Cricetulus griseus: one gene and its partners. The protein of the gene in region 1 interacts with the protein of each later gene in a biochemical or structural test. Links are inferred from orthologs where the notes say so. Each region holds a gene or a part of one and is shown on either strand. Other genes may lie near its edges.

What was found.
Region 2: the proteins of Sp1 (region 1) and Klf10 form a complex in vitro, tested with the Homo sapiens proteins (2 studies listed by BioGRID). The link is inferred for Cricetulus griseus from reciprocal best matches to the Homo sapiens genes SP1 and KLF10.
Region 3: the proteins of Sp1 (region 1) and Rnf4 form a complex in vitro, tested with the Homo sapiens proteins (2 studies listed by BioGRID, with this or other methods). The link is inferred for Cricetulus griseus from reciprocal best matches to the Homo sapiens genes SP1 and RNF4.

Annotation. Positions count from the first base shown.
Region 1 is NC_048595.1:398,784,117-398,787,861, reverse strand, and holds the start of Sp1 (transcription factor Sp1), read right to left. Parts: upstream 2,729-3,745; 5' UTR 2,481-2,728; coding exon 2,474-2,480; intron 2,038-2,473; exon of another isoform or gene 1,901-2,037; intron 763-1,900; coding exon 605-762; intron 319-604; coding exon 1-318. UniProt on the Homo sapiens protein: Transcription factor that can activate or repress transcription in response to physiological and pathological stimuli.
Region 2 is NC_048603.1:13,386,752-13,390,496, forward strand, and holds the start of Klf10 (Krueppel-like factor 10), read left to right. Parts: upstream 1-1,446; 5' UTR 1,447-1,583; coding exon 1,584-1,619; intron 1,620-3,253; exon of another isoform or gene 3,254-3,447; intron 3,448-3,608; exon of another isoform or gene 3,609-3,745.
Region 3 is NW_023276807.1:103,330,567-103,334,211, forward strand, and holds part of Rnf4 (E3 ubiquitin-protein ligase RNF4), read left to right. Parts: intron 1-3,168; coding exon 3,169-3,295; intron 3,296-3,645. UniProt on the Homo sapiens protein: E3 ubiquitin-protein ligase which binds polysumoylated chains covalently attached to proteins and mediates 'Lys-6'-, 'Lys-11'-, 'Lys-48'- and 'Lys-63'-linked polyubiquitination of those substrates and their subsequent targeting to the proteasome for degradation.

The DNA of each region.
Region 1 (3,745 bases):
AACTTGCTGGTTTTGTAAGTTGGGGGTAGCAGCCACAACATACTGCCCACCAGAGACTGTACGATTCTTGGAAGACTCGCTGCCATTGCTGCCATTGGTACTGTTGCCACTCTGTTCCTTTGAGGTAGGGGTAGCCCCAGAGGAGGAAGAGATGATCTGCCAGCCATTGGCACCCTGTGAAAGTTGTGTGGCTGTGAGGTCAAGTTCACCTGTGCCCCCTGACTGACTCGGACCCTGGGAGTTGTTGCTGTTCTCATTGGGTGACTCAATTCTGCTGCAGGTTGCTGCCAGCAGAGCCAAAGGAGATGGCTGGGATTCCTGGCCAGAAGAGAGGAAAGGAGTTAGTGGCACCCAATAGCCTGCCTAGGGGGCAGTATTCAACAGACAAACAGCAACAATGCAGGCATATAAAGAGCAAAAACCAGAAATAAAATGCTGACTTTTGTGTACTGTTCCAACTTTCTTATTTGGGGACCCTCTAGATCATCTATCTTTCTGTGTGTACTTCACTACTGTATTTTTTTTCTCCCAGCTTTTTGATTAAGGAACTTTCTAAGAATATTTACACCCTCAACACCTTCCCCACCTTTGACTGATCACTCACCTGCCCTCCTCCGACACCACTGCTGCTGCTACTGCCTGTGCTGCTGCTCCGAGTCTGAGAAAAAGATGCACCACCACCATTACCGTTACCCCCGTTATTGCCACCAACACCTTTTTCAATCTTCACGGCTGTCACTTCATCCATGGAGTGATCTTGATCTAAAAATAATTACAAAACAATAACTTAAAGTGGAAGAAGGAGAAAAAAAATCACCCAAAGGTTTAAAATAAGGCTCTGATAACCAGCCTAATGACTAATAGAATGTTTAAAAGCAGAGTAAAAAAGGAAATAGGGCCAGATATAGATATGGTGATAGGCCTGAAATCTCAGAATTTGGAAGTGGAGGCAAGAGGGACATGGAGGCAAGAGAAATAAGAGTTCAAAGAAATTTTCAGTTACATCAGTTGAGATGCCAGCATCTCATGCCAGGCATGCAGAACAGGCATGTGCCTCAATGGTGTCCAAGATGGGCCACTATTTCCCCATGTACAAAATTAAAGTCAAAAACCATTCAAAAAGCGCTTTGGGCTGGGCAGTGGTGGCGCACGCCTTTAATCCCAGCACTCCGTAGGCAGAGGCAGGTGGATCACTCTGAGTTTGAGACCAGCCTGGTCTACAAGAGCTAGTTCCAGGACAGCCTCCAAAGCCACAGGGAAACCCTGTCTTAAAAAACCAAAAAGAAAGCGCTTTCGAGCTGGATGGTGGTGGTGGCAGCAGTGAAGGCACACACCTTTAATCCCAGCACTTAGGAGGCGGAGGCAGGCAGATCTCTGTGACTTCAAGGCCAGCCTAGTCTGCAGAGTGAATTCCAGGACAGCCTTCAAAGCCACAGAGAAACCGTGTCTCAAACCCCCATCCCCACCCCCACCCCCCAAAAAAGTGCTTTGGAAGCCAGGCATGGTGACTCACACCTGTTCATCAGTTCTAAGTCTATCTGGACTAGAGTGAGACCTGGCCTTAAACAAGACAAATAGCATTTCTGAAAAAGGGAATTTGAGGGCAGTATCTCAGGAATACTAGTTGCCCCTAGTGTTGGCATGGCACACTCTGTAATCTCAGCACTCAGGAGGAAGAGGCATGAGGATGGCTAAAAGTTTAAGGCCAGCCTGGTTTTCATAGTACCACACAGACCCTGTCTCAAAAGTAAAAAAAAAAAAGCATTCTGGGAGGAAGAAGAGACCCAACATGTGGTTGGATGGAAAAATGTGCTAAAATTAGGATTAAGAGAGATGGAGAAAGACCAAGTGTAAAGCTAAATAAATAAAAACAGGAACAGACAGAGTACATCATAAGTACCGATAGGGACACTTCTGAGGATACAGGTAAGGGGCTAAAGTGGTCTAGGGCTTAGAACCCAGGTTTGGGGCTGAGAGGGCGGGCCTTAGAAGGAAGGGGCGTTTTCGGGGTGAGGGGCGTGGAAAGGGCGGGTCAGATGGGGGAAGGGAAATGTTCGGGGGTGCGGGGGAGGGCCTGGGGCAGGCAGTGACCGGAGGGCGGACCGGGGAGGCGGTTGGCCCAGGCGGGGCCTGCACTGGTCGGGCCGCCCCCGCGGCGCCAGCCCCCGACGGGAGGAGCCTCAGGCGGCAGGCCGAGTAGTGGGGGGTAAGGCCCGTCCCCCGTGGCCGGGGCGGGCAGGGGGCGGGCGAGGCCACGCTGCCCCCTCCCCCGGGGCGGGTGGCCCATCCCCCTCCTCCTCCGAGGCCCCGCGACTGCCCCTTCTCCCTCCCTTCCCTCCGCCCCGGGCGGGACCAAGGCCGCCGCCGCCGCCTCCCGCCCGCCCCCCCTCACAGCGGGGACCGCCCGGTCGGCCCTCGCGCGCGCCCCCTCACTCCCCTCCCACCCCTAGGCATGGAGTGGACTCATCCTTACCGCTCATGGTGGCAGCTGAGGGGCGAGCTCAAGGGGGTCCTGTCCGGGGGGGTTGGGGGGGGCCAGGAAAAACGCGGACGCTGACGAGGCAAGCGAACCCGGACCGGACAGGGAGGGGGGGTAAGGAGGAGGGAGCAGCGCGCCACAAGCCCGGCCTAGTCTCCGCCCCTTATCTGCTGCCCCGCCCAATGAAGGAGGGAGAAAGGAGAGCCTTGCAGTAGAAAGGCGGGCAGACGACCCAATGGGAAGACTCGTTCCCTCGCAAAGGCGGGTAAGACCAACTTGCGTGCTGGTGTCCGCCTTAAAAGGCCGCCCTCTCAGCTCTAACAGCCAATAAAAGCTTCAGGAAGTGAGAGTGGGCGGGACATAAGGAAGATCGACTTGGAGAGAAACCAGTGATTCGCCGGGCGGGCTCCGTGAACGGTGGTGATAGGACGAGCTTAGGAAGGAGTGACAGGACAAGGACCAATTAGAATCTTGAGCATGCCGGGGCAAAGTCCGTTTAGTAGGAGAGTAAGAAATAGGCCGGAATGGGATAGGATCAAGCTATCTAAACCAATCAGGATTCAGGCGGGCAGTTAAGAAAGTTCTGATTGGTCAATAACTGAGACGATCCGGAACAGGATGCATATTGACATGAGCTCACAGCCAATTAGACGCCGAATAAAAGGCGAAGGCTGGAACTTGGAATGGGGAGAGGAGACCTGGCTTCCTCCTCAGATACTCAGGCCAATGAGGGGAAGAAAAAGCCCTGGCACCGCCTCTAGCTTGGCCAATGGTCGTTTGTGGGGCCGCCCATCGTGAGGAGGGAACAGGGGCTGTGCCAAAAGGAGTTCGTCGCCATGTTGGCCCTGCTCGGGAGACTTCCTTACGTCGTTAGGTTGTACACTCCAGCTGAGCCCTGCAGCTCTACAAGTGTCCCTGCCGAGGCGGGCGAGCGCCGCGTGTTTCGCCACACGGGATCGCTCCAGTTTTCACATCTCGCACCCGACACCCTCTCGAATCCCACCCCTGCAGGGGTGGGTGGGCGGCTCCCCCTGGCCGTGGGTGGAAGCCCTGCGGCGGCGGGCGGGACGAGAGCTTGGTGACGGCCCTCGAGAGCTCAGTCAGTTCTGAGCTCACCAATATGGAAGGCTTTCGGGAAACTCTAGCAAACGCCATTTTCTTAAGCTGTCCCGAACGCGCTAAGTCGAGGGCCCAGAACTCTTTGAGACTGACTAGAAAACTTCCGGGATCAAAGCTCTCCTAAACTACTCCCTTTTCACTTCGTTA
Region 2 (3,745 bases), on another chromosome or scaffold:
ACGAGGAACCAGGAGATGATGGTGGTGGTGGTGGTGGTGGTGGGGTTGGCTGCCTCTGCGACAGTTCCCCTCCGGCACCCGCGCGGCGGTGACTGGCGAAGGGCAGCGTGAGCTGAGAAAGCCCGCAGGGGGTGTGGGGTAGCGGGGCGGGGGGCGCGCTGAGACTTTGCTCTCACGACCCCGCCGCCTGCCCAGGAGAGGAGATGAAAATCTCTAGTTTGCTTTAAGCCCCGCTATCGCTGCCTCCGGCTCCAACAGCTACCCCGAACCCGCACAACGGTCAAGGAGGGCGGGGTGGGGGCCCAGGAGGAGCCCCGGGCCCGGAGCCCACAGTACCCCCCCTCCCCAGCTGCTGCCCGGGGCGGCTTCCCTGCCCCCGACCCCGGGAGGGAGGGGTGGGGGCCGGGGCAAGAGCCCCACCCCCGGACACGCCTCGGAAAGGGCTCGCACGCTCTATTTTAAACTCCTAAAGGCACCCAGCTCAAACTCGACCCTGCCACCGAGCGCTCGGGTCTGGGGCACCGGGACACCCCGCGAGTCCTGTGGGACGAGCTTCCCGGGTGCCCCCCCCCCCGCCGCGGGCGCCCCTGAGGAAGGACGGGAGGGGACGCCCCGCCGGTGCCTGTGCCGCAGATGGGAGGGCGAGCTAGCGCCAGCCGCCTGGGCGTGGGCGTGGAGTGCGAGCAGGTGTCTGCTCCGTGACAGCCCCCTCCCCCACCGGCGGCTCGCCCTGGTTCTCCCGCCGCTCGGTTCGGTCCAGCCGGCGGCTCGCCCTGGTCCACCCGGCTCGGTGCGATTTCCCCCACGGCGGCTCGCCCTGATTCTCCCGCCCGCTCGGTGCGGTCCACCCGGCGGCTCGCCCTGGCTCTCCCGCCCGCTCGGTGCGATCCACCCGGCGGCTCTCCCGCCACGCCAGACCCACGAGGACCGCGCTGCCTGCCAGAGGCAGTCTCCGGGCTCAGCCCCGCGCTCGCAGCCCCCGCCTCCCCGGCTCGCCCGGGGTCCCGCCCACTCCCTGGCGGGCGCGAAGGGGACAGGGCGGGGCGGGCTTCCCTCCCCCTCCCCACCCCCCACGTGGGCTCTCCCCAAAGCCTGGATGCCTCCCGCCGCCACCGCGCCCCCCTGTGATGTCCCCGCCGCGCGGCGGCCGCCCCGGCGCGCCCGGTCGGGACGGGAAGCCGGGGGGGGGGTGGGGTGGGGGTGGGCGAGGGGCGTCCCGGAGTCAGGTGGTCCCGGGAGTTCCCCGGGGGAGGGCGCGGCGCCCCGGGGGTTGTGTACACGCTCGGCTGACAGAGCCTCCTGCCGCCGGGCAGCCGCTGATCACGCGTGGCCCCGAGAGCCCATTGGCTGCAGCCTCACACACCTTTGCCGCTGATTGGCCGGGGCCAGGCCCCGCCCCCGGCCCCCGCCCCCGCCCCGCGGCGCGGGGCAGGCAGAGCGGCTACCTGAATGGGGAGGGGGGCAGACGGCGCGGAGCGCGGCGGCGTCGACGTCTCGAGTCTCGGTGCGCTCGCCCGCCGTCTGTGCCCAGGCAGCCGGCAGCAGCTCAGCTCGCAGGCGCCTCGCCCGCCACCCACCCAGCCATGCTCAACTTCGGCGCCTCTCTCCAGCAAGCATCGGTGAGTCACCTGGGGATGCTCGCCCTCCCGCCCAGGGTCGCCGAGCCAGCCGTGGGTGGGTAGGTGGGTGGGGGGCGCGAAGCCCGAGTCCCCGCATCAGCCACGCCTGAGGACCCCGGCTGCAGCAGCGGGGACTTGCCAGGGTGTCCTGCCTGCAGTCTGGGGAGGCCATCGAGGGCATGTGCGCAGGAGGGGGGACCTGGACCAGAGCAGGCGATCCTGTGCCAGCCTGGGTGTCCAGGGGACAAGGAAAAGGGGGGGAGGGTGTCTCGGGGACACCCGGGCGAGCAGGAGAGCAAGCGGGAGGTGGAGGGGTTGCTGCAGCCTCCCCGGGGGGCGCCCTGCACCTGGCACTGGCGGGAGATGCCCCCGTCTGCACCGGGAGCGCAGGAGCCGTCTGCTGCCCGGGGGGCGGGCGCCTGCTCGTCGGGGAGGGAGCGGGATGGGCGGGTGGGCGCGCGCTGCCAGGTGGGGACCGCACGGCTGGGCTGGCCCGGGCTGGGGGGAGGGGACGGCTGTCTGTCTGGCCGGCGGTGGGGCGCGGGGGATGGATGGATGGATGCATGCATGCATAGATGGATGGCACCCCCGGCGAGCGGGCGTCGGGAGGGGACCCCCCATCCCGGGCTGGAGAGGCAGGTGGACGCCTGTGGATGACTCCCCGACACGGGGTGGGGTGGGGGTGGGGGACAGGGCCCCGCCGACAGCTGGGCGAGGGAGCGGGGACCGCGAGACGCGGGGGCCGCGCGCGCGCGCGCGTTGTCGAGACGGGAGCCGCGGAGCCCGTGGGCGCCGCACGTCTGGGAGCCTGCGGAGAACACGGCTCGCCCGGGCCGGGAAGAGGCGGCGAGGGGGGCGCAGGGGACGCGGGTGGAACGAGGTCCCGGGGGGCAGGGTGGGCGGAGCGCACCGGGCGAGCGGGCGAGCAGCCGCTCCCGGGAGGAGGGCGGCGGCGGCTGGGCTTCCGCGGGGACCCGGCGGCGGCTCCTCCTCTCTCCCTCCCTCCCGCAGCTGGAGGCCGGGCTGGGCGGCGAGAGGGTGCACCCCGGGAGCTCCTCGTCCCCGGGTGACCCGGCCGCGGCCTCCGCCAGGCAGGGGCAGAGGCAGGGGCGGGAGCGAGCCCGGCCCCGCTGTCGGTTCCTAAGGGAACCGCGGCTCGGGGGAGGTGGAAGGGGCGGGCGCCGCCCGGTGCGCACTGGCGAGCGGTTGGCGGTGGCGGCGCCCGCGGCCCCCCCTCCCCGGCAGGCGGCGGGAGGCGAGCAGGGAGGGCGAGCCGAGCGGGAGGGCGGGCGGGGGGGGGGGGGCGGGCCGCTCAGGAAGTAGGGGAAAGGTGACGGCGCGGCAATCCCCAGGTCACGTTTCCTGCGCCGGCCCGAGCAGCCGCTGATCACGCTTTGTTCACACATGCCTCGCGCCCCTCCCCCCTGCGCCCCCGCCCCGGGCCGCCCAGCCAATCGGGCGCGGGCTGGCCAATGGCAGGGGCGGGCCCGGTGACTCACACCCGCCAGCCTCATGAGATGAGGGCGGACCCATCGGTTGGTCCCCGCCAGCGAGGATCTCCCCCGCCGGCCGGCCTCCGCCGCCCCGCCCCGCTCGCGCCGCCCGCCCCCGCCCGGCTTCCCTTTCCTGCCTCGCAGCAGCACCGGCTCGCTGCTCCCCTCCCGGCTTCCCTTCCCGGCGCACATTCTTCACCCCTGCCTGCCTGCTGCCTGCCTTTTTTTCCCCCACCACCCCTTTCTTCGCGTCGGTGCCTAGAGGCTTTTTACACTTAGATTACTCCGTGCCTGGCAGCTTACATAAAGGCGCGGACGATTATGCAATTTGCATTGTTAGTGATGTTTCAAGAACAGTGTCTCCCCCCCACACACACACTCTCTCTAAGGGAAGAGAGACATTAAAAAAAAAAAGCTTTAAGCCTGTCTTTACAATTTCATTTTCTTTATTAGCTTTTTGCTCTGTCTTTTTTTTTTTTTTTTTTGAGTGAGTGAGGCTGGTCCTGAACTTGATATATAGCCAAAGCTGGCCTTGAACTCTTGCCCTCTGTCTCTGCTTCCCGATTTATAAGGCTTTTCATGATTTTTGCAATCTCTCCTTGGTCGGGAAGGATTTGGAAACTCGTTTTTAGA
Region 3 (3,645 bases), on another chromosome or scaffold:
AATAGAATTTTAAAGCTGTGTCTGGAGGGCTAGAGAGATGGCTCAGTGGTTAAGAGCACTCACTGGCTGCTCTTCTAGAGGCCCTGAATTCATTTTCATTTTTCAGTGCCCACATGGCAGCTGACAACTGTCTGTACCTCCAATTCCAGGGGATCTGACACCCTCATTCATAACAATGCACATAAAATAAAAATTAAAAACAAAACAAAAAGTCATGCTCCACAGGGACAAAGCTTAAAAAAAACAAAACCAAACTTGAGTCTAGGGCTGGGTGGGTGGTGGCACATGCCATTAATCCCAGCACTCAGGAGCAGCGGCTAGTGGATCTCTGAGTTCAAGGCCAGCCTGGTCTATTGAGTTCCAGGACAGCCAGGGCTAAGTAGAGAAACCCTGTCTCAAAAAACCCAAACAAACAAAAAACTGGATCTAGGGATATATGGCTCAGAGGCCAAGAGTATTTGCTGTTCTTCTAGGGGACCTGGATGCAGTTCCCAGCACTCACATGGCAACACAGAATTGCTTGTAACTCCCAATTCTAAAGATTTTGTGTCTCTTCTGGCCTTTACAGGCCTGGAAATGGTACACAGACATTCATGCATGCAGGTGAAATATTCGTGTATATAAAATGAAAAAAAAAATAAAGAATGACTATTTTCACTTTTACTCTGGGAATCAGCTTTGGTTCAGTGCAAGACAGATAAAGACTGGAGGTGCTTGGGCTCTAGAGTAAGGCATCCTGAACTTTTTCTACTTGTAATTTTTTTCTTTGGGGAAATTTTTATGACCTCAGGTAGTAATGTAGATGCACAAGCAGATCAAGTATTAATAAATCATGTTTAATTTTAAAAAATTATTACTATTTACTAAGATGAAAGTAAATTATATGTTAATGAGGTAGATACTCTTATATAAAGAATCAATCTTGGTCTGGCAAGACGGTTATCAGGTAAGGTGCTTACTGACAAGTCTTGACAACCTGAGCTTGGTCTCTAGACCCTAAATGGTAGAAGGAGAGAATTGATTGCCAAAAACTGTCGTCTAGTTTCATTTAAGCATAGTAGCACAAGTACATGCATGTACACAAATGTTTAAAGGAAAAAAGAGTGAATTAGCCATGCATGTTGGTATGCACTCGGGAGGCAGATCAATGAGTTCAAGGCCAGTCTGGTCTATAGAACCAGTTCCAGGATAGCCAGGGCTACATACACAGAGAAACCCTCTCTTAAAAAGCAAAAAAAGGTAAAATTTGACTGACCGTTTATATAGATCTTTGGTATTTTTTAGCTCTGCTTTCTGAGCACTGCATGCAATTTAAAGGCATGCCCAGCTAGTATTTTGATTTCATGATCAGCATTTCTAAGAATGCCACTTCAAATAAATGTGTAGTATTTATGGCCATTTCAGAAACATTGGAGCTTCTGTCCTAACCCCAAACCAAAATTGATTTGATTGACTTTTTTATGAAACTCATTAATTTACACAGATTTTGTTTTTTTGTTTTTGAAGTAAGGTCTTCTATGTATCCTTGACTATCATGTAACTCCAAAGATCAGCTGACTGTGCCTCTGGATTTCTAAAGGCATGTTTTAAAGTATCAAACACAGAGGTAGTAGTGCTCACCTTTAGTCCCAGTACTCAGGAGGCAGAGGCAAGAGGATCTTTGTGAGTTCCAGGCCAGCCTGATCTACAAAGCAAGTCCCAGGACAGCCAGGGCTGATACACAGAGAAAACCTATCTTGAGAAAAAGAAAAAAAGCAAAATATACTAGAGCAGTGTAATCTAAGAATGTACTGGGTGATAATTATATGCTGAAGAATAATGGTAAGAAAATGCTACAAATCTTGTTTGTAATTAAACCATTCTCTTTCTGTAAGAATAAAAAATATATGCAGTAGGTGTTGGCATTGTGTGACATGACATCATGTTCTCTGTAAGTTTGAGTTGTGTTCAGAACCAAAGCTGTAGTGAAGTCATAAGCTGCAACATGGACAGATAATATGAAAAATAATAGTTCTTGGTGCATTTGGTCTTGAATTAATATTTGGTCTTTGTAGGTTCAGAAAACATGTTGCTGTTGCAAATATTTTTTCACAGCCCATCTTCCCCCATTTAGTTATGTGACCATACATGGGATTGCAAACCATAGTTGAATATGTTTGTTTGCTTGCTTGTTTTGGTTTGGTTTTTTGGTTGGTTTCTTTTTTCTAATGACTTAAGTATTTTTATTTTATATACATTGGCGTTTTTCCTGCACGAATGTCTGTGTAAGGGTGTCCAATACTTTGGAACTAGAATTAGAGACAGTTGTGAACTGCCACATGGGTGCCAGGAATTGCTATCTTCTCAGCCCCTTGTTTGTTTTCTTGAGACAGGGTTTCTCTGTAGACCAGGCTGGCCTTGAATTCACAGAGATCTTCCTGCCTCTCAGAGTGCTGGGATGAAAGGCACATGCCACCACTGCTTGGAACTTGTTTTTATTACAATTGAATGATTGAGATAGGGTGTCACTATATAGCACTGTCTGGCTTGGAACTTACTATGTAGACCAGGGTGCTTTTGAACTCACATAGATCCTCTTGCCCAGTCTCCCAAAGTGTTGGTTGGTCTAGAGAAGGTTGCCTAAAGGTCTTTTGACCTTTCTTTACTCCTTACTGACAGAGCACCTTCTTCAAGGTTGCACATATGATTAAAATTCAGAAGTGTTTGGGAACAGTAAAAGTTTCTTACTGGGTATAAAAATAGCACTCTGAGCTGAACATGGTGACACAAACCTTTAATCCCAGCACTCTGGAGGCAGATACAGGCAGATCTCTTGAGTTCTGGAAGAGCTGGGGCTACACAGCAAGACCTTTTATCAGGCAGAAACAACAAAAAAGCACTGGATTTTCTTTTTCTTTCTGCTTCAGAGGTGCTACAAGTTTGTGGGTGTGGTGTGTTATGCATGCCGTGTGTGTGTGTGTGTGTGTGTGTGTGTGTGTGTGTGTGTGTGTGTGTGTGTGTGTGTGCGCACGCGCGCGCGTGTGTGTGTGAGAGAGAGAGAGAGAGAAAGAGGGGGGGAGATATGAGGGGGTATTAACACCATTCCCCTGTTGACTTCTTAACTCTTCCTGAAACCCTGTCAAATCTGGAGCTCATGCAACTGCTTCTTTTCCCCCTTGATGACCTTAGAGAAATCCTCAAAGAAAACGTCGTGGTGGAACAGTAAGTTCTAGACAAACCCAGAAGCGTTCTCGGGAAACAACTTCAACCCCTGAGATTTCCTTGGAAGCAGAACCCATAGAACTCGTGGAAAGTGGTAAGAGCCAGAATCCTGAACTGTAATGTGTGACAGTGGAGACAGTGTAGTATAGCATGTGAATTAGACCCAGTTTGTGTCTATTAATGCCCATGTGGGGCCTCATGGAAAGTCGCCACCCCCCCCATTTCATATGTATTCCTGAATATATGTCTGTGCACTACATGTGTGTCTAGTGCACACAGAGGTCAGAAGTCATTATATTCCCTGGAACTGGAGTTAAAGATGGTTGTGAGCTGCCCTGTGCATACTGGGAACTGAACTTCAGTCTTTTACAAGAGTAGTAATATTGATAACCTCTAAACTATCTCTCTAGCCCCAGGTCACACCTTCTGAGCCTCTGTTTCTTC